2 linked regions of the Danio rerio genome follow. The protein of the gene in region 1 binds, or shares a complex with, the protein of each later gene. Links are inferred from orthologs where the notes say so. Each region holds a gene or a part of one and is shown in the gene's direction. Other genes may lie near its edges. The genes, in order: bmp7b and nog1.

Region 1 (16,053 bases):
AATATTGGTTCCATAAAACGGGGCGGCTCGCCAGTTTCCACCAACAGCGAATGTCCTCCAAGATGGCAGAAACAAGAATACTTTGGACTTCTAGAACTCCACACTCCAAATGTCAGGTGTCAGGATCACGAACAGAGAAGATGGAAAAACAAAAACAGAGGAAAAGAACACACAAAAAAAAACCCAACCAAGAAATATAGTAGTTATAGTTGAAGAAAATATCACTTATGAACCTAAAAAAAATACAGCCTAATCAGATCTGTGCTTCAGACGATTCCTGTCCTTGGTCCAAACGCGATTGGGGGTTTGAGTACGGACAGTAGTATATTACAGCAACTAAATCAAGTTTCAACTGCTTGTTTTACTTCTAATTTCTCAAATTTTACAGCTATACACGACGCGGGCCGCGAGCTCGCTTCAGCTGTTCACGTTTCTCTCGTTTCACTCCTCTCTCACGCTGTGATTCTGCCTCTCCCTCAACTCAACGCGCGCAGATGACGTCATTCCGGGAGGCGGAGCTAGTATTTTTTTCACTCGCAGTTAAATAGATGCATTTAATTCTATCTGTATTCTACGATTATATAATGTTTCTTTTTTCTTTTTGATAACATTGTGACTATTACAAAATACAAATAAAATTATTTTACATGTACTCCAGTTATTGTTCTTATTTATTTATTTGGTTAAAGGGCTTGATAAGACTACAGTAACCTGGGTTACACTTGCGCCACATTGGGCCGGGTGTATGATAGGGCCCTATATGTTTACATATCTATGTCAAATGGTACTGCTTATATTATTTCACCATCGGTACACCAATATAGTAAATGTGCGTGTATGTGGATAGGGCTGTGTCGGTGTGGTAATGTGGGCTGGTGTGGCTACAGTGCCAGGGCTGAATTTTTGTCCCATTCCGCCCCTGATAGGACAGTATTTATGCATTGGTTGGAGCAACTGGACATATGCATTTTAGCACATATTAAGCATAAGGATCTCAATTCATGAGGCAGTTCGTGTCTGAGTTGAGCAATGATTTGAAATATGCAATTTATTTGTTGTTAAACATATTCAATATTGCTCCATTCCTATAGCAAGGATTCGTTCTTGTGTGGTATATCTGTCTGGAATCATTGCAAATATGGCCACTGTATACGTAGATTTTCTATGAAAGGATTCTTTATGTATATTGAGGATGAGAGCAAGCGCCTCTGCCTGTCCATCACTTCAATTTAGCTTCATCTAAGTGACAGATAAATTTGCACCAGAAATCATAATGTGTGATCAGACTTTCAGCCTTTGACGTCAGCCTCAAAAGTTTCCCCCTCAAATCAGCTTCAGAAATATGGAAAATGTCTGCAGATTCCATGTGAGGCTGGATATAGCTTGCTATTTTTTATGGTGGGTGTTTTTTGGTTTCCGAGAAAAAAGAATCATTTCCTCTTGAGGGTTGTAATGCTCTCAACCCCTCTGTCTATAAAGGCTGGACACATTTGATTTGTGTTTCCTTTCCTTCTATTTCTTTTTGCCGCACACACAGAGCTCACTCTATCTAATCATCCCAATGCAAACTTTACAGTTGCACCACACCATGTTTCCGATTCCGACTCGGCTGCCCCCTCTCAAAGAATCAGTTGTGCACCACAGGGCTTCCCTTCACCACACGTTTGGGACCTTCTAGAATATCGGCGTGACCCGTGCAGTGAATGGGGTTTAAAAGCGTCCACAGTAGCTCCTCCTACGTGGTGCTCGACCCCTCCTGAAGGCCTCAGCCGCCTCTACAGGTCTGTGGGGAACAACACACCCTATTGTGCTCCCATCACAAAGAGAAAAGACACTAAATTGAGGAATAAATGAAACTGGATTAGACCGAAGCGGCTGATATTGAGCAGAACAGGTGTTTGGATCACACACACTGACCACCTGAACTGCTGCGGCTCTTTGAAACGTGTATCCACTTTCTCTCCCTGCAGCGATTTCCCCTGTCTTCTGTTGTATACTGCCTTTCAGTCCCTTTCTTACGCGCACTTTATGTCTTGCTCCAAATTCCTCTGTTTGATTTAGTGCAGGGCAGCCACACTGCGAGATCAACAGCCGTTTATAAAGTCATTATTGTCAATTAAGGAAATGAAGTGCTCCCCAGGGCCTCACCATCTGGACTGAGTACTCTGTTTCTCACTCTCCCATTCCTCTGTTTATTTCACTTGTTCTCTCTGTTTCACTTTGTTCATCACCTTCTCCATTTTTCACATAATAGTCACAGGCCACTTTATTAGGCACATTTTGCTAATGGAACCTCTTTTATTGCACTCAGAACAGCCTTAATTATGTTGTAATTATGCTTTAGCAGACAGCTAGCTCTCTGCAACTTTCTCATGGTCACCCACTGAAGCTAAGCAGGGTGAGAAAGCTAGGTTGCTGCCGGAAAGCTACATGGGAAAGCTAGGTTGCTGCCGGAAGTGGTGTTAGTAAGGCCAGCAGGAGGCGCTCAACCTGTGGTCTGTGTGGGCCCTAATGCCCCAGTATAGTGATGGGGACTCTATACTGCTCAGTGAGCACCGTCTTTTTCAGATGAGACGTTAAACCGAGGTCCCGACTCTCTTTGGTTGTTAAAAATCCAAGGATGACCTTCGAAAAAGAGTAGGGGTTTAACCCCGGCATCCTGGCCAAATCTGCCCACTGGCCTGTCCAGCATGGCCTCCTAACTCTCCCCATATCATGATTGGCATATCATCACTCTGTCTCCTCTCCACCAATCAGCTGTTGTGTGAAGTGCGGTCTGGCACAAAATGGCTGCCGTTGCGTCATCCAGGTGGATGCTGCACACTAGTGGTGGATGAGGAGATCCCCCCCCCCCCACAAGTTGAGTGCCCAGAAAAGCGCAATATAAATGTAAGGAATTATTATTGTAAACGTTCCTCAGAAATATTTTTTGGCATGCTCAATTGTTCTTTTGCAGTGTGATTGACCAGTAATCTGGTCAGTCATAACCAAGGGCATCGCTAGACCCAATTCACTGGGGCATGTGCCTTCAGCACCTGCTCACATCATCATATGTCGACGTGATCATATGCCGACGCAATTTCTTGCTTCATATGAGAACAGACGATAGTGCCTGGTGTAGTTATTGCAGTTGTGCTATTTTTTGGTATTTATCTTCAGGAAATCACTGACGGCATATATTATGTTATCATAACGATCTAATTGTGGCAATAAGATCATAACTGTACTGTACATTTACACAGTAGCCATATTCATTTATGTTAACACACGAAAACAGCATTAACATTATAGCAGACAGTGTAAAAAGCTCATTACCTGCCACTAGACTTTTCTGACAGGGGATTCGATTGTCATCGAGTGTAGGAATGCTGTGGGACTGCAATACAGGAGTTATGATTAGGGATTCTTGATCGCAAAATTTAACGTTTTTTTTTTTGCATTTTTTTAAAAACACAATGGTAAAACATGAACGCGATTATGAATATAATAAAACATGTGCTTGTTTGTCATAAAAATTCACAATACTGAGAAAAAAATACTCATTTGTGGATCACCTTACTTCCGGGTTCAGCAATACTGCTGTTGTGGCAGGTGTATCCTGGAATATTTTCTTACCCCTTGGTTTCGAGTGAGGTCCTGATTAATCTTCATTCGAAGGGGTATTCACCCCTTCCCCTTAGCCCTACGCCTTAAAGCTAAAGAGAATAGGGATACCTCTACCCCTTAGTTTGAACCAAGCGGCAACCTCCCGCTCTCTCTCAGGAAGCCAATACGGAAGTAACTAAAACTGCAATTCATCCGAAATTCCGCTAGTCTTGTCCGCTCCTGGCTCCAAAACAGAGCAAATTTCAATTGAGCCCACTGTTAGAATGGCCAACTTTACAGCAGAAAAAAAGGTGTTTACAGCCTGGTACAAAAAAAGATTTTGGTTAATACAGCTAATATTACCCTTCATGACAACTGTGAGGGGGTGAATTTTTTTATAACTCATCCGTTTCCTTTATATTAAGTTATATTAAGTTTGCATAATTAAGGGCGTGGTCACTTGAGTGACAGCTAGGTCTCGTTGGTCGCCGTCACGTCACCTCAGCTGAATCCTGCAGATTAGCCACTGAACTCAGCATATTTATCGTATTTCTTTGTTGTTTTATGTGGCTTTACACAGTCAACTGCCTTTTGGACTTGTTTCCTACATTTATTTGATGGAATGGCATGCTGAGTGCACTTAATTGTGCTCACAAACTGTTCACGTGGCCTCCGTTTCCCATGTGAGTAAAGTTATATACTTATATACCATCTCTATACATGTATTTGTTTTATTTAAGATCATTTATCGTTTATATTTATATTTAGAGCTGTAATGCACTCCAGAATCTGTCAGACTGATTAGCTGTAGGCTGTAGAACAGTCATCTGAAGCGTTGTCATACAATGTTATGCTGGATTTCATCAATAGTCTTACATTAACAAACACAGACTATATCTGAAGTGTTTGGAAGTAATTCGTGTTTTCCTCCTGTTGAAAAACATCATAAGAACAATGTTTAGTGGCTCAATGTATTACAGCAGTGTTTATAAAAGACTAAACACTTTATTGATAAAGTATACAACCAAGCACAAGTGGTCAGAATACAAACGAGTCACAAGTGATAAAGTATTAAGCGTTCTCCCAAAGTAAACCAGGTGTCTGAACCAGGTCCAAGCTAAATGCAGCATGCGTCTGTAGCTCCGCTCACTCTCCGCCTCTTTGCCCATGTTTGGTATCCCGCCGTCGGTGTGATGACGCGCGAACAAAATGGCGACGGTTGGCCACGCCTACTTGTGGCTTCTTTTGCGCTCTTTAGAAACCTATGGGTGACGTCACGGATACTACGTCCATATATTTTACAGTCTATGGTTTGAACGCGCAAATTGAGGGGTAGGGGTAAGGGGAAGGGCTAAGGGGTAGAGATCTGCACGGGACTAAATTTTTAATCCCGCTCCTGCCAGGTTTTAGCCCGAACCCGACCACTCCCACTTATATTCAGCATTTGTTGCCCTGCTGCCCGACCCGCCCCATTTTCTACCTGCTGCGCCCGATCCCGCTAAGGAGCGGGGGGAGAACAAAACTGAAAACCACCCAGCTATACAGCTTATAACAAGCTGTCTGTATAAACAAACACACACACACAAGTACCAAGCACACACACACAAGCACCAAGCACACACACACAAAGACAAAGCTCTCTCTCTCATTTGCGCGCGTGTGCACACACTCACACACACACACACACACACACACACACACACACACACACACACACACACAGCAACAAACAAGCTAAACACAGCATTGCGCTGTTTCATTTGGACACATACATAAGTGCTCGCTCGCTCGCTCGCTCGGGAGTAGGGAGCAATATTGCTAGACGGCCCACTCCCGTCCCACATTAAACCCGTTACCGACCGCTCCCCCGCTTTATTCGGAAATTTATTCCCACGTCGCAGAAATCTGGTCGGGTCCAGTGGCAGACCTCTACTAAGGGGTAGAATTGGGATTGGGCCTAAAAAGTGAGTAAATTTTCATTTTTGGGTGAACTATCTCTTTATTTTTCATATAAAATATCATAGAATGTAAAATATGCACAAAAAGTCATTTGACAGGTTATCTCTATCTTTCCTTCATGCTGTAATGACTTGATTTGTGTGATATGTTTGATGTGTTACGCTGGTCTTTTCTTCATCATCATCTCGCTCTCTGTCTGTCGATCAGGGATTCAGATTTGTTCCTGCTGGACTCGCGGGTGATCTGGGCAGCAGAAGAGGGCTGGCTGGTTTTTGACATCACAGTCACCAGTAACCACTGGGTGCTGAACCCGGGCCGTAACCTGGGCCTGCAGCTGGCTCTGGACAGTCTGGACGGTGAGCAAAATGAGCAATGCATTCACAAATTTGCCATTCAGAGAGCACGCAGAGAGCACGCTATGCTTCCACACACATATTTTCATGCACATTTTGGAATTTTGCATAAAAATGCTGACCGGGAATGCCAGGATGTGTGTAAATTTAGAAAAAAATTACAATGAAAACACATTTACTGCAAAAAAGTGTATAGATTCCAGCAGGTGCATCAAAAATGTCATGTGATTTGTAAATGTAGCTTTGGTCATTTTAAAGTGCCTTAGCTGAAGTCCGTCATCAAAGTGGTTCAGTGCACTTTAGTGGGCTTTTGTACTTTCATAATGTGCTTTTCAGTTTAATGTTAAGCATTTACGTTTTTAGATATAACCTTTAAGTGCTTCATAACCTTTGTTTTGTGTTGATTAAAACTGCAATACATATTTTTTAAAGGTGGTTTTCTCAAAATTAGTTATTCCCCATACATCCACATCAAAATCAGAATCAGTTTTATTGCCAAGTGTGCTTCACACACACAAGGAATTTGTTTTGGCTACAGAAGCTTCTAGTGTACATAAAGTGACAAGTGACAACACAAAATAAATATGAAAAAAAAAAATACATAAATAAAAAAGACGATAATCATTAAACAGAGATGCAGTTTGTCAAGAAATCTGAGTGTTGACTTGTATGTACGGATTTGTATGGATAAATATACAGGTTATAAGGTGCCTCCGACCAGAAGGTAAAGGTTCGAACAGGAAGTGTGCTGGGTGCGAGGTGTCCAGAGTGATTTTGTGAGCCCTTTTACTCACTCTGAAGGAGTACAGTTCTTGAAGTGTAGGTAGTGCCAGTGATTCGTTTAGCCGTCCGGACTATTCGCTGTAGTCTACGGAAGTCGGTTTTGGCAGCTGAGCCGAACCAGGCATATACAGTAAGTTACAATAATTAGCCCTCCTGTCAAATTTCTATTCCCCCAATGATGTCTAATCGACAAGAAAATTATGCATTTTGTTATACAGTATAAATGATACTCTATAAATAGTTTTTTCCCCTCTGGGAAAAGACTTATTTCTTTTAATTCGTCTGGAATAAAAGCCGTTATATTTTTTTTTACTATTTTTGAAAACAATTAATTATTACCCATCTAAAATTATATTTATAAATATATACAGTTGAAATCAGAATTTTTAGCCCCCCTTTGATTTTTCTTTTTTAAATGTTTCCTAAATTATGTTTTCACAGTGTTTCATTCATTCATTTTCATGTCGGCTTAGTCCCTTTATTAATCCGGGGTCGCCACACCGGAATGAACCGCCAACTTATCCAGCAAGTTTTTACACAGCGGATGCCCTTCCAGCCACAACCCATCTCTGGGAAACATCCACACACACATTTACACACACACTCATATACTACTGACAATTTAGTTTACCCATTTCACCTGTACCGCATATCTTTGGACTTGTGGGAGAAACCGGAGCACCCGGAAGAAACCCATGCGAACGCAGGGAGATCATGCAAACTCCACACAGAAACGCCAACTGAGCCGAGGCTCGAACCAGCGACCCAGTGACCTTCTTGCTGTGAGGCGACAGCACTACCTACTGCGTCACTGCGTCGCCCTTTTCACAGTGTGTCTGATAATATTTTTTCTTCTAGAGAATTCTTATTTGTTTTATTTTGGCTAGAATAAAAGCAGTTTTAAATTTTTTATGAACCATTTTTAAAGTGAATATTACTAGCCCCTTTAAGCATTTTTTTTCGATAGTTTACTGAACAAACCATCATTATACAATAACTTGCCTAATTACCCTAACCTGCCTAATTAATCTAATTAACCTAGTTGAAACCTTTAAAAGTCACTTTAAGCTGTATAAAAGTCTCTTGAAAAATATGTAGTCAAATATTATTTACTGTCATTATGATGTTATTATGTTTAGAAATGTGATGAAGAAATCTTCTCTCTATTAAACAGAAATTCTGGAAAAAAATAAACAGGGAGGCTAATAATTCAGGGGGCCTAATAGTTCTGACTTCAATTGTATGCAAATTAGCTGGTATTTAATAAAGCAGTGGCTCATTTGCATAATAAACTTAACATTTAAGAAAACATACTACAAAAATAAATTCTATATGTAATCAGTCAACTGCACATGTACATTGAAATCTAGTGATGTTTTCCCTCTATCCACCTGCAGTGTCTTGATTTAGTCTGGAGCTGCACAGAAAACGCTGGAGTTTAGTCTGAGATCAGAGCTTAGTCTGAAGAAGTTCAAAGTGATACAGAGCTGAAGCTCCAGTGTTTTCTCACTCTCATACTTCATTCCAGCCGCAGTGGGAGTGCGTTTTGTAGCGTAGCTCTGTGAGTAAGAAGGTGTGTGTGTGTGTGTGTGTACAGGATGTTACAGGTTTTAAGTGTTAGCATGAAAACAGGTGCAGTGTATTATGGGGCTCGCGTAGATCAGCGAGCCTGTCGAGACATGCTAGCGGGACGCCTGCCCTGCCGCTGTAGGCAACCGGCAACCCAGCTTTACCTCGGCGCGGAGACAGAAAGAGCATTCCTGCCTCTTTTTAAGAAACACACACACACACACACACACATACACACACACACACACACACATACACACACACACACACACACACACACACATACACACATACACACACACACATTAAAGCCGGTGTGTAGGTAAAAGGAGTCCAGAATGGCACAGAAACAGATGTAAGTGCTGGAATTTTCTGAGTAAACAGGGAACTAAAAGCTCTTTTGAGAGTGGGAGAGATTACACAAAATAAACATGAGAAGTTGCATATTCTTGGAGAACACACACACACACATGCTCTTACAAAGTTGTGTTCATTTACAGTTTTTTTTTTTATTGTTTTGCCACAAATTTCAGAAACCTGATATCAATTGTCAAAACTCTAGAAACACAATTCTAAATGCTCACTACTTTTAACAGAGACTCTCCAGTGTTCAAAACTCTGCATGCTGCATTCATTTCCTTCAAGAAGTCTTGCATTTGAAAGATCATTAATAATAATAATTAATTCATTTTCTTGTCAACTTAGTCCCTTTATTAATCCAGGGTCGCCACACTGGAATGAACCGCCAACTTATCTAGCAAGTTTTTATGTTCGCCTCACAGCAAGAAAGTCACTGGGTCGCTGGTTCGAACCTCGGCTCAGTTGGCGTTTCTGTGTGGAGTTTGTATGTTCTCCCTGCCTTCGCGTGGGTTTCCTCCGGGTGCTCTGGTTTCCCCCACAGTCCAAAGACATGCGGTACAGGTGAATTGGGTAGGCTAAATTGTCGATAGTGTATTAGTGTGTGTGTGTGTGAATGTGTGTGTGGATGTTTCCCAGAGATGGGTTGCGGCTGGAAGGGCATCTGCTGCGTAAAAACTTTGCTGGATAAGTTGGCGGTTCATTCCGCTGTGGCGGCCCCGGATTAATAAAGGGACTAAGCTGACAAGAAAATAAGTGAATGAATGAATGTTTTTCAGCCTTCATAAAGCGCATAAACACAGCTGTTCTTTCAATAAAATCCATGTTAGGCATTTAACAAGAAAGCTACAGTCACTGAGCTGAAAGAATCCCTGCCCATGACGCGAATCTGCGTTTATTGCTCAGTGAATTTGACGCACGAGTGAATCGGATTTGAAGTGCGAATTTGAAGTGCAAATAAAGTGGATTTGACGTGCGAATGCAGCGGATTTGATGTGCGAATGAAGCGGATTTGACGTGTGAATAGCGCAATTTATCTGCATGTTTCCCGTCTAGTGTAAGCACAGCATAAATCGCATGGTGCAAAAACATTAGGAGTGTGTCCAAATCTACTTTTGCTACTTTAAGGACAGAAAAATACAATTCTGCTTATTATTTTATTGAGTTATATGTGTTTTGAGCATAACGTACATTAAACCAATCAAAGTCTCAACTCCCATTCCCTTTAAGAGTCAGTTACATAGCTGTAAGGTCGCATTTACTATTTACATGATGTACTTTGTAAGTGGAAAAACTTAACGCTTCACTAGCGAGAAACAGTTAAACAGAGCATCTGCAGCACAAGGATTAAGAATGATCCTCCTCCATTTGGCCTCTTTACTTTCTATTTATTTTACTTTTTATTTTACTTTCGTGGATATGTTCTTCCCTCTTTTAAAAAGAGCATAATCCCTTTTTTAATTTAAAGTGACAATCACAAAAATGGCACACATGGTCTGAAAAAGAGTTGTAAAACATTAGTTGTGGGATGTTTCGAGCTAAAATTTCACATACGCACTCTAGGGACATCAGAGATTTAAGATCTTGTAAAAAGAAGTATAATAGTTCCCCTTTAACAAAAATTATTTGATGTAAAGTTGCAATTACAAATTCATGATAGAAGTCAATATATTCTGCTGCAGAAATTGCTCACCCACAGTAATATCCGATTCAAACTCACACTAAAAATGTTTGTCACCCATTATCCAGATGAAAAAGATCTTGTATAACTTTACAGTAGTACTTTCCCTCATGGATTTGTACCTGTCAACATTTCCACTAACAATCTCAAGATGTATTTCTCTCCTCTATTATCTCAGCATCATAAATGATTGTTGTGAAATGATGAACTGTGAAATCTCTCTCTGTCTCCCCCTGCAGGTCAGAGTGTGAACCCCTGGGTGGCGGGACTGGTGGGGCGCAGTGGCCCTCAGAGCAAACAGCCCTTCATGGTGGCCTTCTTCAAAGCCACGGAGGTCCACATCCGCAGCATCCGCTCCGCTCAGGGCGGAAACAAGCAGCGCAATCCCAACCGCTCCAAAACCGCCAAGGGCCAGGAGGCGCTGCGTGTAGCCAATATTGCAGGTGTGTGTGGCTGACGTGTATTGAAGGAGGCAGGTGAAGAAAGACATATAGTAAGACCAAACTGAGAGAAAGGCACTTAGTATAGTTCTGTGCCACCCCGAAAATAAAAAAATATATATGGAAAAACCATTATTTATAATATATGCTAAAGGAAAAGAAGTGTACTGAAGTATGACACTAGTTATTATGCAAACTTGTAGTGTACTGCAAATTCACAATATATTTTTATACACACTGTATACTATTTTTAATGCTCTTACTTAAAAAAAAATACTGTTTCAAAACAAGTATATACACTGTACAAATAATTCGTAATTTTACATTTGTAATGTAAAATAATAACCGGTAAATTACAAACATTAAATACCATATAATACTATAACCATAAAATAACAGATGTTAAATTACAGAAATTTACCAGAAGTTTACATTTAAAGAAATTTCTGCAATTTTACGTTCGTTAGTTTTTGGAAAATTTCTGTAATTTAATGTTTGTTATTTTATGGTAAATTTCTGTAATTTAATGTTGGTTTTTATGGTAAATTTCTGTAATTTAACAACCGTTATTCAATGGCAATTTCTTTAATTTAACATTTTTTATTTTATGGTAAATTTCTGTAAATTAATGTTCGTAATTTTTTGGCAAATTTCTGTAATTTAATGTTCGTTATTTTATGGTAAATGTCTGTAATTTAATGGTCGTTATTTTTTGGCAAATTTCTGTCATTTAACATTCGTTATTTTATGGCTAATTTCTGTAATTTAACGTTCGTTATTTTATGGTAAATTACTGTAATTTAACTGTCGTAATTTTTTGGCAAATTTCTGTAATTTAATGTTCGTTATTTTATGGTAAATTTCTGTAATTTAATGGTCGTTATTTTTTAGCAAATTTCTGTAATTTAACGTTCGTTATTTTATGGTAAATTACTGTAATTTAACGGTTGTTATTTTACAGTTAATGACTAAAATTTATACATTTGTTATTTTATAGCAAATTTCTGTAATTTAACGTTCGTTAATTTATGGGCAATTTCTGTAATTTAACATTCATTTTTTATGGCAAAATTCTGTAATTTAACGTTCGTTATTTTATAGCAAATTTCTGTAATTTAACGTTCGTTATTTTACAACAAATTTCTGTTATTTAACGGTCGTTATTTCTTGACAAATTTCTGTAATTTACCGTTAATTATTTTTTGGCAAATTTCTGTAATTTAACGTTCATTATTTTTTGGCAAATTTCTGTAAGTTAATGGTCGTTATTTTACATTAAATTTATGTAATTTACCACTCAATATTTTATAGCAAATTTCTGTAATTTAACATTTGTCATTTTATGGCAAATTTCTGTAATTTAATGGTCGTTATTTTTTTTTTTTTACAAATTTCTGTAATTTACCGTTAATTATTTTTTGGCAAATTTCTGTAATTTAACGTTCGTTATTTTTTGGCAAATTTCTGTAAGTTAATGGTCGTTATTTTACATTAAATTTATGTAATTTAGCACTCATTATTTTATAGCAAATTTCTGTAATTTAACATTTGTCATTTTATGGCAAATTTCTGTAATTTAATGGTCGTTATTTTATTTTTTTTACAAATTTCTTTAATTTACCGTTCGTTATTTTTTGGATATAAATGCGTTCGTAAGCTTTTTCTTTTCTCGTGGCTTGGGCCACTATCAGCTGTTCCTACACACGTACAGCAGTCAATTTTTAAAATAGTTCAGCTTTTGCCACTGTGTGGTTTAATTCTGAATGTGTGTCTGGGTAAAGAGTAGAGTAATATGTTGGTGTTTAACAGCATTGCTTTAATGTACTCCTGCATTTGACTCACACATACACTCTGCACTCTGACTACTTCAAAATTGTTTATAAGCTGTAGTGGGCATTTCTCTCTGTCTCCACTGAACGCAGTCGACCAACCCCAACAGACTGGGTCATCGGACCAATCAGTGCAGATTAGCTTTTTCTGTACATCATTGTTTATTAGTTCTATATATATTTTTTTCTCATATATGCAAGTAAATGTCTGTGTATGGTTATATGTCACCCTCTATCTATGCCAAATTAATGATGATAGTTGACTTTGTTTGTTAAATTATTTGAGTGTTATTGAGATATTTAAATGAGTCATGTGACCGTAGTACTCAAGAGAGACTCTAGACCAGTGGTCACCAACCCTGTTCCTGGAGAGCTACCTTGCTGTAGAATTCAGCTCCAACCCTGATCAAACACACCTGAGCTATTTAATTAGGCCCTAAAGCGCACTTGATAATTACAGACAGGTGTGTTTGATTAGGGTTGCAATTTAAATCTGCTGGAAGGTAGCTCTCCAGGAGTAGGGGTTGGTAACCCCTGCTTTAGACGCAGACGATGACTGTTACCCTAATAGAGCCAGATCCTTGCCTAAACGCTTAGGTTTTTAAAGATTTAGCCATGCGAATAAAGGCTTTTTAAATTTTCCAAATTTTTTTCGAGTGCCTTGGACTGATTCCTGTTGTTGAATAAATTACAATATTTGAGTAATTAATTAAATTAATTAAAACCACATTATTTCATATACCAGAAACAAACATATAACATTAAACTGAATTCATTAGTTTTTTTTTTTTTGTGTGCCACCCCAAGATTTGGTGTGGCCTAAGAATATTTTATGGGGGCGCCACTCTGGAGGAAGGGAGAAACTGCAGGATTTGAATGCTGTCCTTTAAATTTGAATTTTGTTTTTGTTTTGGAGCTCTCAAGCTTTATTTCAAGACTAACATATTGATACTAACATCTAAAATAATGATTGATTTTACAGGGACTTTAAAGAAAAAATTGCTTTGCAGGTTTGCCTCAACATGCCCTTAAATGAAAACAATTTAATTCAATTTCAAGCTGAACTGTTCCTTAAAGGCAAAAGAGAACTGGAGATAAAATGTGTGCGTTTCTGTGTCTGTTCATGTGGTTCCTATTAGTGTGTAATTCTCTGCAGGTCATTTTGCACAGTAATAACATTACAGTGTTAAATGGCTATTAAATGAATTTGGGTCAGTGTACTGCATAGGTATATGAGGGTTTCAAGGAATCTGGACAACTTCGGTGACCTAGTCCTCATATTTCTCAGTCTTCCTCACAGTTTAGTGTTGGCTTTAGCACTTTTTCACACATTATAAGTAAGGTATACACTCACCGGCCACTTTATTAGGTACACCTTACTAGTATTGGGTTGGACCCTCTTTTGCCCTCAGAACTGCCTTAATCCTTCGTGGCATAGATTCAACAAGATACTGGAAAATATGGATTTTGGTCCATATTGATATGATAGCATCACGCAGTTGCTGCAGATTTGTCAGCTGCACATCCATGTCATGTCTCACCGCATCCCAAAGGTGCTCTATTGGATTGAGATCTTGTGACTGTGGAGGCCATTTGAGTACAGTGAACTCATTGACATGTTTAAGAAACCAGTCTGAGATGACTCAAGCTTATGGCAGGTTTTCCTGCTGGAAGTAGCCATCAGAAGATGGGTACACTGTGGTCATAAAGAGATGGACGTGGTGAGCAACAATACTCAGGTAGGCTGCGGTGTTGACAAGATTCTCAATTGGTACTAATGGGCCCAAAGTGTGCCAAGAAAATACCCCCCCCCCATTACACCACCACCACGACCACCACTAGCTTGAACCATTGATACAAGACAGGATGGATTCATACTTTCATGTTTCATGTTTTTTCTGCTGCTGTAGCCCATCCGCTACAAGGTTTGACATGTTGTGTGTTCAAAGATGCTCTTCTGCATACCTCTGTTATAACGAGTGGTCATCTGAGTTACTGTTGCCTTTCTATCTGCTCAAACCAGTCTGGCCATTCTATTACTCTTCTGCTACAATCTGAGCTATTGTAAGGCTTTTTATGCCCTTTTCATTATCAGTGTTAAGCTTTGGCACAATCTACATGATAAAAATAAAGATTAATAGAATTTTATTGATTAATTTGCACCCGTGTGGGACAGATGAATCAATAATATGTAGCTCCACAGGAGATCAACCATTTATTTTAAATGCATACATCTACTAAACTTTTATTTTGGCAAAGTTCTAGTGTAGAACTTGTGGTAACACTTTATTTTGATGGTCCATTTGAGTATTAGCAGACTGTCTGCTTAATATCTGTTGATACTCCTCCTAAACTGACATTTAACTGACTATAAGAAACTTTGCAAGTTCATGTCAACTTACACTAACCCTAACCCCAACAGTCTACTTCAAATCGAATGAGAATTAATTGGAATGTAGATGCACTGTAACCTAAATTCAACAAACAGACCATCAAAATAAAGTGAGACCGAACTTGTGTTTTTATTTTAAATATAAACAGTGCTCAGCATACGTACATAGTACACCCCTCACATATCTGTCTTTTAAATTCATATTTTTACAGGAAGCTTTACAATATTATTTGACATTAGATTTGAGATTAGTCAGTTCTGAAGCCAAATCTGGAGCTTTTTTAACAAAAATAACTAATGATAACGGTCCAAAAACTAGTACACCCAAATTTATGTTATAAATAAATATTAAATACAAATTTTTAAAAAAGGAAAAATCAAGAGAAGCAAAAAATAAACAAATAAATAAATAAATAAGTAGTTGAAATTGTGTTATTTATTTTTGCAATACTTTCCTTGATTTTAATTGTATTATCTTTCAGTTTCTAAATATGTTTGGTGACCAAAATATTAATTTACTGAATATATCTGTTTAATACATCTGTTTGTTTAAATGCACCAAAATACATTGCCTCTGTTCACTGAGCAATGGATACAAATATATATTCATTCATTCATTCCTTTTCTTTTCGGCTTAGTCCATTTATTAATCTGGGATCGCCACAGCGGAATGAACCGCCAACTTATCCAGCAAATGTTTTACGCAGCAGATGCCCTTCCAGCTGCAACCCATCTCTGGGAAACATCCATACACACTCATTCACACTCATACACTACAGCCAATTTAGCCTACCTAATTCACCTGTACCGGATGTCTTTGGACTGTGGGGAAAACCCACACGAACGCAGGAAGAACATGCAAACTCCACACAGAAATGCCAACTGACCCAACCGAAGCTCGAACCAGTGACCTTCATACTGTGAGGCGACAGCACTACCTACTGCGCTGCCAGATACGAATATTCATTTTCAAAATGGGGTACACTTATTTATAGCTGAGCACTGTGTATATATTTGTTTGGAGACTGACTATATTGGCAAATAGTTTACTCTTCTGCAGGTTTGCACTTCATCTCCAGCGATGACCATTTCTATTGAGGTTTCT
Region 2 (16,546 bases), on another chromosome or scaffold:
GGGAAGAAAAATGACTAATTGTACTCAATTTTGACATTTTCACTTAGGGGTGTTCTCACTTTTGTTGCCAATGGTTCAGTTATTATTGGCTGTATTTGTAGTTATTTTGAGAGGACAATACATTTACACTGCTATACACACTTTACACTGACTACTTTTCATTGTGTCAAAGAGTCATTTCTGCAGTGTTGTCCTATGAAAAGTTATAAATAAATATTTGCAGAAGTAGGAGGGGTGTACTCACTTTTGTTACTGTATTAGTGTAAGTTTCATAAGTGTAATGTAAAGTGTGTTTGTTATATTTACAAGTGTCATTTTTTTAGAATTGCTGGGATTGGTATTTTCTTAAATATTGAAATATAATTGATAAAATACATGTTGTTCAGCATTGTTTGGCGATTCAAATTGGATTTATACTATGGAAAAGCAGTTCCTACTTTAACTAAACATTTTAATATTTATTTGGGAATCTGAGGCCATTCAAATGTTATTAATACAAAGAGATACATATTTTAAAAGCTGTTTTTGCTTTCTTTAATTTCATCAGTGAAAAAAGTTTATTCTATAGAATATGATTTTTTTGTTTATTTTAAACAATTATTCGACGGCATTGGTGGAAATTGTTTTTTATTTTTATTTTTTACACAAGATCAGTCTTCTAGAAATGTATTATATATATATATATATATATATATATATATATATATATATATATATATATATATATATATATATATATATATATATATATATATATATACTGTAAAAAATAATTCCGTAAAATTTATGGTAAAAAATGGCAGCTGTGGTTGCCAGTACTTTACCGTTAAAAACACAGAACAAACCTTAAAAGTAATTTTTCATTTTTACGGTAAATTACCGTATTTTATTAATTTATAGAGGTAATATGTCTGTATTTTGAATGATCAACATTTACACATCTTTTGTTTCACAGTTAGACACGTTAGCACACCCACATGAAGAAGGTGGTGATGAAGTTACCAAATGAGCCAATGCTCATCACAATCAACTTTTCCCACAAGCAGAAAAGAGTATCAGCATATAGAAGGTGCTCAGTGTCATTCACACAGCTACTAAACACCAGTATGGTAACATGCATAAAATTAAAGTCATGAAATAAACATTGTTTATCAACATTAGATGTAACATAAATCTCTAATGTACATAACTGATGGGAAAACAACTAAAAAGATCCATATTAATGTCAACCAAGTGCATAAAAAGTGATGTGCCATGCAGGGAATTCTGGGAAAGTCAATTTACAGTTATTATTACGGTTATGTAACAAAAATTGTAGTTCTATAGGATTGCTAGAAGTTTTTTTTTTTTCTAAATATTAATATGATTTATTTATTTAAATTAGAATTTTGGCCCACACAAACTTTATTATAATTATTTATATTAGTTTTAACTTTAACTTTTGTAGTTTTCTTCATTTGAAACTGTTATTCTTACACTCTATGCTCTAATTGTGTGTGTTTTAGATGCATTCAGTGTTTAATTCCATTGTGTAAGATTTTCTGAAGATTTCTTTCCTCCTTTTGTTCTCTATAAGTGTGTGTGTGTGTGTGTGTGTGTGTGTGTGTGTGTGTGTGTGTGTGTGTGTGTGTGTGTGTGTGTGTGTGTGTGTGTGTGTGTGTGTGTGTGTGTGTGTGTGTGTGTGTGTTCTAGTAGCTGTGTATAAAGTTTCTGTAACTGAAGGGTTCTGGTGTGTTTCATGACATGACAAAACCCACCATGAGCCGAGAGCAGCAGTGGATGACAAAAGCATTAGCAGGAGTTGAAATGAAAACACTCCGATATCTCTGAATATGACGGGTGGATGCATCAGCATTTATGTATTTTGACTGTGATTAAACTCCTGGAGAGAATCAAGTCAGTTTATGTGACAGACAGTGAGGTTAACCAAAGACAAATGCTGATCTTTCCACACTCCACAAACTCTTTTTGGGTTTTTCGAGCAGGTGAGTGAGTCCTGTGTGGAATGGAGGGATGGATGGATAGACCAGACAGATGGATGGATAGATCATACAAATTGATGGATGGATAGATAGATATACTGGATAGATGAATGGATGGATTGACCAGATGGATGTATATTTTGACCTGATGGATAGATAATTGGATAGATGGATGGATGGATGGATGAAATATAGATAGATAAATAGAAATATGAATGGATGGATTTATGGCTCGAAAAGATGGATAGATGATAGATAGAGAAATGGATGGATGGATGGATAAATAGAGTAACAGACGGATAGAAAGATGGATGGATGGATGGAGTAGGAAAGATGTATGGATGGATATATAGATGGACAGATGGATTAATAGGTATATAAACGAATGGATGGATAGATGGATGGATGGAAAAATGGAAAGTTGGAATATCGATCGATAAATAGAAATATGGATGGATTGATTGATGGCTTGAAAAGGTTGACATATAGAGAAATGGATGGATGATAAATAGATGAACAGATGGATAGAAAGGTGGATTGATGGATAAATGGATGGATAGAAAATATGGATTGATGGATGGATGGATGGATGGATGGATGGATATTTAGATGGACAGATGGATGGATAGATAAATAAACAGATAGATAGATGGATGGATGGAAAAATGGAAAGTTGGAATATAGATAGATAAATAGAAATATGGATATATGGATTGATGGCTTAGATAGATATATAGAGAAATGGATGGATGGATAAATAGATGAACAGATGGAAGGATGAATGAATAGAAAATATGGATGGATTGATAGAAATTATGGATAGATGGAAGGAGATGGATGGATAGATAGAAAATATGGATAAATTAATATTGATGATGGATGGATGGATGGATGGATTGAAAAGATACATGGGATGGATATATAGATTGACAGACGACTGGATGTATATAGATGGATGGATGGATGGATGGATGGATGGATGGGCAGACAGTTGAATTTATTGATGGATGGATAAACCAGCTAGATGGATGGATGGATAAATAGAAAAGATGAAGAGAAGGATGAATGGACAAACAGATAGTTAGCAGGATTGACAGACAGACGGACGGACGGACGGACGGACGGACGGACGGACGGACGGACGGACGGACGGACGGACGGACAGACAGACAGACAGACAGACAGACAGATAGATGGATAGATGGATGAACAGACCCATGGAAATATATAGATGGACAGAAGGACGGTTGGATATCAATAGACAGAAGGATAGCTGGATTGACAGACAGTTGCATGGATGGATGAATGAATGGATGGATGGATAAATGAACAGACGGATAGAAATATCGATAGACAGAAGGATGGATATAGGTGGACAGACAGATGGATGGATAGACGGATGGATTAATTGTTCATTTTTATTATTGTTATGAATTATTGATTGAGTTGTTGATTGTAATAAATTAATTACAGGTCTTGTGAGTCTGAATAGTTATTATTAAGTGTTTTCTAATGAAGCAGGGTGCAGTGCACAGGTGTGTTCAGTGTTTTGTGAGTGCTGACAATAGTGTCTGCTTCTGCTGTCTGATTCAGCTCTCTCTCTCTCTCTCTCTCTCTGTGTCTCTCTCTCGCTCTCTCCGTCTCTCCAGCAGAAGTGTGAATTAGCTCATTCACACAGAAACAGAGATGTATTTCTCTGCGCGTCTGCTTTATGCACAGCTCACTTCTTCCATGCAGCTCCTCTGTGTTTGTCAGTCTCGAGCTGCATTCCGCCGCGCCGGCTTGGTGGGAGATGTTCATTTTGGATGACTCTAGACGGAGTGTTTTATGGCTTTATTCCCCACAGCCTCAGCAGCACACTTGTGTGTTTGTGCTTCTCCAAGTGCCAAGCAGACAGAGATAATGTGGGCTCATCTACTGTATACTGGGTTTATTCAGAGATGTTCAGATGTCTGAACTCATATCATGAGGATGGGAGGAATGATGGACAGATTGATTGAAGGAAACACGGTTGCAAATTAAACTGGATACATTGAACTTGTTGTTGAGTTCAGTGCAGCATTGTAGAACATATTAACACACCCCTATACCAGAAAACGTTGTGACGGTTTGGAAAATGCAAATAACGATAGTCTCCTTTACAATGGTCTTGCTGAGGACAGATACGCACCATTTACATGGGGCTTCAGCGTCAACGCTTGACTGAAGGTGTGTCTGAAGTTGGGGCTGAAGCGATCGTCATAACAGCGTCAGCCAATGAAATTCAGTCAGCAATAGGCCACTGTCTAGCTGGTGTATTTGCATACAGCGATCTGATTGGTTGACACTTCCATCGGCGCTTGATAAGTTAAGCTAGTCCCAACTTCTGCAGCGAGCAACGTCTCTGAAGCGGTGCCGACGGATCCACAATGCAGTTCGGCAACACCTGACATCACCCATTCAATGTGAATAGGAAGCGTTGACGCTGACGCCCCATGTGAATGGGGCGTTACAACCCTTTTTGCATCCTTGTTGAAAGTTACATTGCTAGCGAATAAAGATTTATGTTAATTTAGCAAGCTGAATGCATTGTGTACTGATTAGGAGACATGGAATAGATTGATTGACAGTGGTCTACAGCCAATCAGGACGCAGAACTCAATGCACTGTAAAAAACAAAGCAAAACAAAAAACAAAACCAAGTCAAACTGCAGTAAATAAAATCTGCTAAACTGTGTGGCCCAAAAGGTGAACCTTATAGTGAGAGACCACTGTATATGTCATTTTATTTACCTTGTAATGCTTGCCGCAAGCTCCATCTGAAATTGTGATGAATCCAGATAGAAAAATGAACAATTAATAAAGAAGTTGGGTCAAAATAACCAAACCCAGATGTTCAAAGGTGAGAGAAGCCTTTACTGTCCTTTCAGTTGGGTTGACTAAGCTTGGGCAACCAGTACCCGAGTAGGGCTGCTCGATTTTGGGAAAAATCATAATCACGATAATTTTGGTCATAATTGTAATCACGATTATTCAAAACGATTATTATTTTTAAGTCAAAATATTAACGCTCCTGAGATTTTTTTTTTTTTTTAATTTTAACAGTATTTCCTTTAATATTTTTTTTCTTCTGGAGAAAGGCTTATTTGTTTTATTTTGGCTAGAATAAAAGCAGGTTTAAATATTTTGAAACCCATTTTAAGGTCAATAATATTAGCCCCCTTATATATTTTTTGATTGTCTGCATCTGCAACTATATATATATATTTATATATATATTTCTTTTCCACCCTGCAAAGGAATGCGAAATAAATACAATAGTATAAAAATATGAAATAAACTGAGCTTTAAGCATCTTCACTGTAAGAAAAACACTTTTAAGCCAAACAGTTTAGCTTCTCCTTTTGTTTGATTAATAATCATAAAAACAGGTGGCATCAGGGATATTGCGCACGGTCACTTTAATGGTTTCTCTTTCACGTGTCTTTTGATTTTCAACTCTTTGTTTATTACTCAAATGAGGGTTAATATGAATAATTACTAAACTCCACGTTTTGACACCTATTTGACCATTAAACGCTCACATTAAGATGACTTAAGGTGTGTGCGCTCGGCACAGCTCAGTGTGCGAATAAGACGGAATGCTAACCACATGCTTCTGACTGTGTGTGTGTGCCGCACACACACTCAGAATCATGCGGTCTTTTGCGCTTTTAAGAGCAACAGAAGGGGCCAGTATATGATGCAATAATCGCTTATACCGATTAATGGTTTTTCATAATTGTTAGAAGCCAAAATTTAAATCGAAATCGGTTTTCCGATTAATTGCACAGCCCTATACCCGAGACAACTTAGCAGTTTTGACCCTGCACAATTAACCCAAAAATGTGTTTCCAGCATAAACCCTGCGTCTTTTACAATGTAGCTGGCACCCATTGACTCCCATTGGCACCCATTGCTTATTAATGCATATCACTGGACTTACGGAGACATGACTGTACACTCTAAAAAACCTTGAGTTATTTGTTTAACCCAATTGTTGAGTTAAACAAATTGGTTGGTGCTTTGTTGGGTTATTTTTAACCTTTATTAGGTTATTTATATAACAACTCAACCAGTTGGGTTACAGTTTTGGGTTTCAACAGTCAACTGATTTGACTGACACAGAACAGCTGTAATAATATGCATTTATAATGTTGTTTTTGCTTTCTAAAGTTTATTAAGGCTTTAATACAATGATATTGTTATATCTTTTATTAAATGACCTCTCCATGTCGTGTTTTTAATTATTGATACTGAGAGCTTTAAAGCCGATCAATACTAAATCCCTTTCTCCACCTCCCGTGTTCATCTCTGCGCTCCCGGATTCTAACCTTTAGGACCCAGCGGAGACATTCATTTATTTAATGCCATAATTAGGAATTCATAGTAGGAATAGTAATAGTAATCCCAGAATGGAGAAAATAACATTTAATCAAAATGACCCAATGCATTGGGATAAATGATTTAACCCAGTGCATTGGGTAATGTAACCCTATTTGGGAAGGTGCTATACAAACCTAAAGTTGGTGTCAATTTTTTTTTTAAACTCACATTTCTCAAGATTTTAATAAAAAAGTGATTTCTGACACTTTTTTTCATAAACTTTTATTAAACACACATCTCTGGATTTAAGTTGTGAAAATTTAAAGACACCACAAAAAAACATCGCCTCTGGACATCAGTTAGAAAACTGTCCGACAGGGGGCGTCAAACGCCGAGCGCCTGCAGCCACGCCTCCTCCTCCTGCTCATCTGAGTCTGAAAGGAAGTGTCGGGGAATCTCCTGCAAACAAACTCACATTGAGAAAAAAGAAAAAGCGAGAGAAGTGTATTGCATCACAGGGGCGCGCGTGTATAAATCAGAGGCGCGCGCGTGAGAGTCAGGCATTCCCAAAAAACACTCAGACGCGGGGCTCCTTCAATCGTGATGCTTTCTCACGATTCCCACGCATTTACCACACCTCGACATCAGATATGCACGGAATTACGCACGGATAAATCCCGCGTTTAATCTCCGATCTCGCTTTTGGATGAAGATTTCAAAAGGATGGATTTCCCGCGGTGTTTGCTGTCCGCGTACTTGCTGCTGCTCTCCTTCGCACAGTGCCAGCACTATTACCTGCTCAGACCCATCCCGAGTGACACTTTACCCCTGCTGGAGCTGAAGGAGGACCCGGACCCGCTCTACGATCCGCGGGAGAAGGATCTAAACGAGACCGAGCTGAGGAGCGCGCTCGGGGACTTTGACAGCCGCTTTCTGTCGGTCGGTCCTCCTCAGGACCGCTACGCGGGGAACGAGGACCTGGACGAGCAGGAGCTCCAGCTGAACCTCGCCGGGATGATGCCCAAAGACATCAAGAACCTGGACTTTGACGCGCCGTGGGGCAAAAAGCGCAAAGCCAGCAAGAAGCTGAAGCGGCGGCTGCAGATGTGGCTGTGGTCCTACTCGTTCTGCCCGGTGCTGTACGCCTGGAATGACCTGGGCTCGCGCTTTTGGCCGCGGTTCGTGCGCGCGGGGAGCTGCTACACCAAGCGCTCATGCTCGGTGCCGGAGGGCATGGTGTGCAAACCGGCCAAATCAACACACATCACGCTGCTGCGCTGGAGATGCGTGGCGAGGAGAGGCGCACTCAAGTGCGCGTGGATACCGGTGCAGTATCCCATCATCACAGAGTGCAAATGCTCATGCGCGAACTGACCAGCAGAAATAAAAAACATTATAATATTGAACTCCTGATGCGTTTCTGGACTCTGATGTGAAGCGTATTAATGCATATCGCTGGACTTAAATTATGGAGACATGACTGTACAAAATGTATCTCATATTTGTAAAATCCACATTGCTGGAAGAACTTTCTAAAGAAGAGAATTCAGACATGAACATCTTTTATAAAACAAATCTCTGGATTTAAGTTATGAACACTTTTATTTTGTGTTTTGGAAACACTTTATATTAACTTTAAGTCATTTAAAGAGATTAAAGATTTTAATTTTGTTGTTTTAAACAGGTTTGAGTTTCTTCTGTTGAGCACAAAAGAAGATAATTTGAGAAATGTTGATAGCTGGCACCCATTCACTTCCATAGTATTTATTTTTTACAATGGAAGTAAATGGGTGAACTGGCCGCTCATTCAGAAAACCCATAATAGAGCTCCTGATATGGTTCTGGACTCTGATGTGAAGCACATTAATGCATGTTGCTGGACTTAAATTATGGAGACACGACTGTACAAAATATATCTCATATTTAAAATTCACATTTCTGGAAGAACTTTATAAAAAAAGAGAACATTATTTATACAAATCTCTGGATTTGTTAAGAAAAGCTTTTATTTTGTGTTTTGGAAACACTTTATATTAATTTTAGATCATTTAAACATTATTTTCAGACATATTTAAATTCTGTCATTGTTTACTTGCTAAAAACCCGTTGGAGTTTTATCTGTTAAACCCAAAAGAAGATAATTCGAAGAATGCTGGTGATCGGCTCCTATTGACTTCCATACTATTTTTTTTTTATCGAAGTGCCAGCAGCATTCTTCAAAATATCTTCTTTTGGTGTTCAACATAAGACCACATGAGGGAGAGTAAATAATAAGGCAATGTTCATCTAAACACAATGCTGTGCAGATCAATAGCTCACACATTCAGATTTGATAACTGATGACTCAGCGTTGTGTTTTATATTAATATCTGTCATGCAAGTGTTCCCTTTCGTTTGTGTATGCACTATCATGTGTAGGAATGTATTGTCTGTATATGTCGTGCCATCATGTAATGATCTAGCCAGTATTATGTGTAGTAATATCCAGAGTCTACTGTAATTGTGGAAAATATTGGGTTGTATTTATATTGCAGAGAATGGAGCTGTCTGAGATGTCTATAAGGTTTTTTTTCCCACACAGATTCGACGACCTCAAAATTTATTGTGGATTTTTAATTTTTTTTTAAAGTCTCACATGCTGTGACGGCCGGAGACGATTTATCCTGTAAATTAAGATGAACTGTTATTTATTCTTTATATTCAGATAATAAAATATCAAACACAACGAATGGTTTGAGCTTTTTTTGTTTCCTCTGCCTTTGTTTCTTCTCATGAAAGAAACTTCAAAGAGGGTCTCCTAATTTACCATGACATGCTCTCACCTGGCTTAAGGGCCCCCGTAACCAAGGCAACCAATGCTGATGCTCACAGTGGCCCGTGTGGAGCCTTTTTATTACATCACATAATAATGCAGATCACAGTAATCAAACTATATTTAGGCCTAAATGTGAGGTTTATGTGTGTGAATTGAAGATAGATTCAGTTTGGTTAATGTAAGCGTATTTTTTGCATGTTATAGTACTAATAAAATTAATGGATTTTATAATCAGTCCGACCACAATACTTTTTATGCAATTGTCTTATTGCAGTTGTCTTATCTCTTATATATACTGGTTAACATTGATGCATTTACTTGAAATAAAATAAAATATTTTAATAAGATAATAATTATGTAATGTAATAATGTATTTAAAAAATAAATGAAATAATAATAAAATAAAATATTTTAATAAGATAATAATGTAATAATGTAATGTAATAATGTATAAAAAATAAAACGAAATAATTTAAAATAATAATAAAATAAAATATTTTAATAAAATAATAATGTAATTATTTAATGTAATAATGTATTTAAAAAATTTAATGAAATAATTTGAAAAAATAATTAAATAAAATATTTTAATAAGACAATATGTAATAGTGTATTTAAAAAATAAATGAAATAAAATAAAATACTTAAATAAGATAGTAATGTAATAATGTAATGTAATAATGTATAAAAAATAAAATGAAATAATTTAAAATAATAATAAAATAAAATATTTTAATAAGATAATAATGTAATTATTTAATGTAATAATGTATTTAAAAAATTTAATGAAATAATTTGAAATAATAATTAAATAAAATATTTTAATAGGATAATAATGATATTATGTAATGTAATAATGTTAAAAAATAAAATCAAATAATTAGAAATAATAATAAAATAAAATATTTTAATAAGATAATAATGCTATTATGTAATGTTTTAATGTTTTTAAAAAATAAAATCAAATAATTTGAAATAATAATCGCAGTTAATTGAACTATTACTAACTATTTCAAATGATTTTCTTTTATTTTTAGAACACATTAATTAAAACAATTTATTCTGATTATTCTGAATGTAATAAATATATAGCATGTATTGAATTCAGAATAATCTGAATAAATCGTTTTTTTTTTTTTTTTTTTTTTACAATTAACCATTTCAAATTATTATATCTTTTTGGATTTCATTAATTAAAACAATATTTATTCTGGTTATTCCAAATGCAATATATGTATTAAATTCAGAATAATCAGAATAGATATTGTTGTCTTGCTATTAGCTATTTGAAATGATTTTATTTAAGTTTTAGAATGCATTAAAACAATATTTAATCTAATTATTCTAATGTAATAGATATACAGTATTTATTACATGCAGAATAATGTGTCAATAAAACAATAAAACAGCATTTTGTACTAACGAATATCAAAAGGAAGTCTAAATAAATAGCTTTTAAGTTTAACCTTAAACAGTGACACAGTTTTTGACCTGCCACTGCAAAAGAACGATCGCCCCATTGTTTATACCTGGATCTGGGGACCTCCAGCAACTGACCTGCTGATAGGGCCCTGTTCAGAGTAATCAGAATGAATATTGTTTTTTATTTTTGCTATTAACTATTTCACTTTATTTTATTTTTAGAACGTGTTAATTAAAACAATATTCTGATAATTGAATGTAGGCAACACGGTGGCTCAGTGGTTAGCTATGTTGCCTCACAGCAAGAAGATCACTGGTTCAAATCCCGGCTGGCTCAGTTGGCATTTCTGTGTGGAGTTTGCATGTTCTCCCCGTGTTGCCGTTGGCTTCCTCCGGGTGCTTTGGTTTCCCCCTCAGTCCAAACACATGCGCTATAGGTGAATTGATGAACTAAATTGTGTGTAGTGTATGTGTGTGAATGAGTGTGTATGGGTGTTTCCCAGTACTCGGTTGCAGCTGGAAGGACATACATGTGTAAAACGTATTCTTGATAAGTTGGTGGTTCATTCCGCTGTGTTGACCCCTGAAAAATCAGGGACTAAGCCAAAGGAAAATGAATAAATGAATATTGTTTCTGACTAATACGGAACTGATTCTGATATTAATAGTTCAACGAAATGCAATTGATGGAAAACAATGTTGTATTTTATATATTTGTTATTTAAAATAAATATTTTAAGAAGAAAAAACAAGAGTGCAAACAATTGCTAGTATATTTCAAAATCAGTTACAATGAAATGGCAATTCATTTAACACACAATTTTTCGCTATGTATCTCTCTCTGTGTGTGTGTGTGTGTGTGTGTGTGTGTGTGTGTGTGTGTGTGTGTGTGTGTGTGTGTGTGTGTGTGTGTGTGTGTGTATGTGTGTGTGTGTGTATATATATATATATATATATATATATATATATATATATATATATATATATATATATATATATATATACATATATATACACACACACACACATGTAGGGTTTTCTTGTAAAACACACTCTTTCATTTTGAAACTCTGATGTCTAGTGTATAATGTCATTCAAACATCTGATCAGTCACCAAGCATTGTAAATAGATTTTATTTATCACAATCAAAATAAATATTGTTTAAATTAATGCATTCTGATCATAATAGTTAAATAAAGAGCACTTGAGGGAAAAGTTTTGTATTTAATGCATGCGTTTATTCATGTGTTATTTTAAAATAAATATTGTAAGAAGAAAAAAATGGATTGAAAACAATTGTTAGTAAGTTTCACAACCAGTTACGATGAAATGACAATTACATAAACATACAATTGTATTGAAGAGGGTTTTCTTGTCAAACACAACCTTTGGTTTTGTTTTCTCTGAATCACTTTTTCTTTCTAGTGTACATTGTGATTCAAACATCTGATCAGTCACCAAGCATTGTTCGATTAAAAACTGTTACTATTCACTAGTTTAAATGATTAGATTTTATTTTTGCATTAATTAAAGCAATATTTATTCTGATTATTTAAAATGGAAGCGACTTTATTTTGTACATTGTGAATAAATGTTGTTTTAATTAGCACATTCTAATAATTAAAAGTTCAATAAAATGCAGTTGCTGGAAAAAATGTTGTATTTAATGCGTGTATTTATTTTTAAAAAATCCTCTTCAAATATTTAAGTGCAAACAGTTGCTAGTAGATTTCACAATCAGTGAAACAACAAGCATTTTTTGAAAGGGTTTTCTTGTAAAACACACTCTTTAATCTTATTTCTCTTTTTTTGTAGTGTATATATTCATTCAAACTCCTGATCAGCCAGCTAGCATTGTTTGATAAATCCTAATGACTCCTTAATGAAAGTTATTACGACGTGTTAGCGGAGATTATGCGTTGTGCGTTTCAGCAGACGGCCTCTCCAAAAGCAGATTAGCCACATTTTACGCATCAATTAATTCAAACAATTCGTGACATTCATCGGCCGGAGAACCTGCATGTGTTAATTTGCTCGTTTCATCTCGTTAAACCATTTCTGGAGGCGCTATCTGGGTTAAAGGTTACGGCACGCTGGACAAACACACATAACATGGGGCAAAACTTTCTCACATCATCATCACGGGTGTTAACAGAGCTGACGGGTCACGCTAATGAGCGCGTTAGTTTGCAGTCTGTAAAAACCGCCGCTTATCTGATAAGCGGTGAAAATAGCTCTTTATCACCAGCTTTTTTATTGTGGGGTGGAGATGCATGATGATGGTCATTGAGGACCTGTTAACGTCTACTGTAACGTCCTATAGGCAGATAAAGCCCAGGCAGCAGCTGGAGAGCATCTCTTTGCACTGCCACCCGCCCATTTGCAGCCCCGCAGGAGGGCCGGCCTCCCTCCGAGAGCATGGAGCCAGTCTAACAGAGGAATAAACCCTGCCAAACAGCCCTCATAAAGAGCATCAAATACAGCTCTGTTTACCCCTGCAGAAGAGCGCTTTATCCAAACACTGCACTGATTAGGACGCTGTTACGGCCGCTTGGGCAAACTAATCACACAGGGCTTCGTTTAAATGGATGTGTCCCGGCCAAAGGGTATTGGTGATTGCAGACTGAAAGAAAGCGTCTTTATTGGCATCGGAGGGTCCATAAAGAACCATTGACATCAATGGAACATTTCCATTCCACAAAGAGGGTGAAAAAGGTTCTCGAAGAACTAATGTGACAGCACTACACTGTAAAAAAAACCAGCACAAATTGATAAGCCTACTTGTTTTCACAAATTCGAACATTAAACAATGAAATTGTCACAAGAGTCGTCGTTCAACAAGTTTAAAGTAACTAGTTTGAACAAGAAACCAAAGTCGTTTATTCACAGACCAATCTGTGGAAAAAGGGTTCTAAGAACTAATGTGAGATCACTGTTAAAAAGCCTGCATTTAACAGAAATCCTTCATGATGTCCCAACACCAAGTTATTAAGTTCACTTAATGTTTTTATTTTATTTTTATTTTTTACAGATTTCAGTGGATTGAGCATAAAATGCTCATTGAAATTGACTAGTTTTAACAAAAAATGCTCAGTAAAATGACAGTGTAGTGCTGTCACATTAGTTCAGTGGGAACCCTTTTCCTTTTTTGTGGAATGCAAATGTTCCATTGATGTCAAAGATTCTTAGTGGACCTTTAATAACCTTTCCTTTTTAAAGTCATTAAACAACAGTGGTTTGTTCAGAAGCCAATCAGGAAAAAAAAAAATCAACAAGACCCAAACAAAGTGTTAAATCGAAATCAAAACTCAAGAAGACATAAAAGACATGCAGGTCATTTACCACAGATTGATCTGTAAATCAACATGCAAAGTTTTAACAAGCAACAAAAGTCGTTTATTCACAGACCAATCTGTGGAAAAAGGGTTCTAAGAACTAATGTGAGATCACTGTTAAAAAGCCTGCCTTCAACAGAAATCCTTCATGTTGTCCCAACACCAAGTTATTAAGTTCACTTAATGTTTTTTTTTATTTTTGTTTTTTTTACAGATTTCAGTGGATTGAGCATAAAGCAATTAAGCTGTTACAAAAATGTATAATTGTGTTTCAACTCATTTAATGTCAGTGGTTTGAACAGCAAAAGTCCTTTATTTGATTGTACAAAAAAAAAAATAGTTTCAAAATTTTTATTTTCAGAAATAAAGGGACACATTTGCATGTTGATTTACTGATCAAGCTGTGGTAAATGACCTGCATATCTTTTATGTCTTCTTGAGTTTTGACTTCGATTTAACACTTTGTTTTTGACTTATTGATTTTTTTTTTTCCTGATTGGCTTCTGAACAAACCACTGTTGTTTAATGACTTTAAAAAGGAAAGGTTATTAAAGGTCCACAAAGAATCTTTGACATCAATGGAACATTTCCATTCCACAAAAATGGAAAAAGGTTCTCAAAGAACTAATGTGACAGCACTACACAGTAAAACAAAAAAAAAGGTCTGCGTTCCGCATAAATCCTTTTATGTTGTCCTAACACAAATTGATTAGCATACTTGTTTTCACAAATTTGAACATAAAACAATTAAATTGTCGCAAAAAAATTAAGAATTGTGTTGTTTTTAACTATTTTTAAGTAGTTTGAACAAGCAACAAAAGTAATTGATTCACAGACCTAGTCTGTGGAAAAAAAGGTTCTAAGAACTAATGTGAGATCACTGTTAAAAAGTCTGCATTCAACAGAAATCCTTTATGTTGTTCAACACAGTGAACAAGTTAACTTATTATTATTATTTTTACAGATTTCAGTGGATTGAGCATAAAATGATTAAGCTGTTCCAAAAATGTATAATTGTGTTGTTTCAACTCATTTAAAGTAAGAAGTTTGAACAGCAAAAGTCTTTTTTTTTTGAGTGTACAAGAAAGAATCATTTCAGAATCTTTATTTTCAGAGAAAGGGACACATTTGCATGTTGATTCACAGATTAATCTCTGCTAAATGACCTGCATGTCTTCTATATCTTCTATAGTTTTGACTTTGTTTTAACACTTTGTATGGGACTCATTGAAAACATTTATTTTCCTGATTGGCTTCAGATCAAACCACTGTTGTTTAATGCATTTAAAGAGGTTAATAAAGGTCCACAAAGAATCTTTGACATCAATGGAGCTTTTCCATTCCATAAAAACGAAAAAAGGTTTTAAAAGAACTAATGTGTATATATATTGTTAGAATCTTTATTTTCAGAAGTAAACAACCACATTTGCATGTTGATTCACAGATCTAATATGTCGAAAAAAGGTTTAAAAAGAACTAACACACTGTAAAAAATGCTGCGTTTCACATAAATCCTTTGTTGTCCCAACACAAAGTAGTGATTAAGCTAACGTAATCATTTTTACAAATGTAGGTAAATTGAACATAAAACAATTGTGTTAAAAACATGAGAAGTGTTGGTTCAACTCAGTTAAACAAAGTAGTTTGAACAAAAAGCAAGTCATTTTTTTGAGTGTGCAAAAATCATTATTTTCTGAAGTAAACGACCACATTTGCCAATGATTTACAGATTAATTTGTGGTAAATGAAAGATTGTCTTTTTAAATTACTGCAATCTTTACTTTGATTAAATCCTTTGCATGGCACTCAATGATAATATACACAAAAATTTCGATTGCTTCTTGTTCAAACTACTTATTTAAAATAAGCTTGAAACCATAATTCTTGTTTTGTTTGTGACAACTTCATTTTTTATGTTCAATCACTTAAATAAAAAAAAAAAAAAAGTTAACATAATTCCTTCATGTTGTCCCAACATTGATTTTGTAGAACCCAACATTAGTTTCTGTTGTTTTTTTGTTGTTCAATGACTTTGAAGGGAAGTAAAGGTTCTTTATTGGCATCACAAATTTACAATGAACCTTTTGACATCAATGGAACATTCCATCAAATTCCACAAAAGTGGGAAAAGGTTCTATAAGAACTAATTTGACACTGTAAAAAGGCTGCATTTTGCATAAGTCCTTCATGTTGTCCCAACACAAATTGATCAAGTTAACTTGTTTTATGTTCAAATTTGTAAAATGATTAAGTTGTCACAAAACTGAAGGTAGGTTGACAACAACAGCAAAAGTCATTTTTTTCCTTTGAATCCTTTTAGAATTTGCTTGTTGATTCACAAATTAATCTGTGGTAAATAACGTGTCTTTTGTATTTTCTTTAGTTTTGTATGGCACTCAATGAAAATATTCATTCATTCATTTTCTTGTCGGCTTAGTCCCTTTATTAATCCGGGGGCGCCACAGCGGAATGAACCGCCAACTTATCCAGCAAGTTTTTATGCAGCGGATGCCCATCCAGCCACAACCCATCTCTGGGAAATCAAAAAAAATATATTCCCCTTAATATTTTCCCACCGTTGGTTAAAGAACAAACCAATGTTGTCCAATGACTTTGAAGAGAAAAGGTTAATAAAGGTCCTTGTTTG

Evidence for each region.
Region 2: the proteins of bmp7b (region 1) and nog1 are in contact, whole or in part, in a crystal structure (PDB 1M4U), measured with the Homo sapiens proteins. The link is inferred for Danio rerio from reciprocal best matches to the Homo sapiens genes BMP7 and NOG. Residues at the interface, in NP_001710.1 of Homo sapiens: Phe365, Pro366, Leu367, Asn368, Ser369, Asn375, Ile378, Val379; in NP_005441.1 of Homo sapiens: His29, Tyr30, Leu31, His32, Ile33, Arg34, Pro35, Ala36.

The regions. Positions count from the first base shown.
Region 1 is NC_133198.1:6,477,815-6,493,867, reverse strand, and holds part of bmp7b (bone morphogenetic protein 7b precursor), read left to right. Parts: intron 1-5,751; coding exon 5,752-5,900; intron 5,901-10,526; coding exon 10,527-10,730; intron 10,731-11,512; exon of another isoform or gene 11,513-11,590; intron 11,591-16,053. UniProt on the Homo sapiens protein: Growth factor of the TGF-beta superfamily that plays important role in various biological processes, including embryogenesis, hematopoiesis, neurogenesis and skeletal morphogenesis.
Region 2 is NC_133178.1:7,845,125-7,861,670, reverse strand, and holds nog1 (noggin-1 precursor), read left to right. Parts: upstream 1-6,908; 5' UTR 6,909-7,049; coding exon 7,050-7,700; 3' UTR 7,701-9,051; downstream 9,052-16,546. UniProt on the Homo sapiens protein: Inhibitor of bone morphogenetic proteins (BMP) signaling which is required for growth and patterning of the neural tube and somite. Essential for cartilage morphogenesis and joint formation.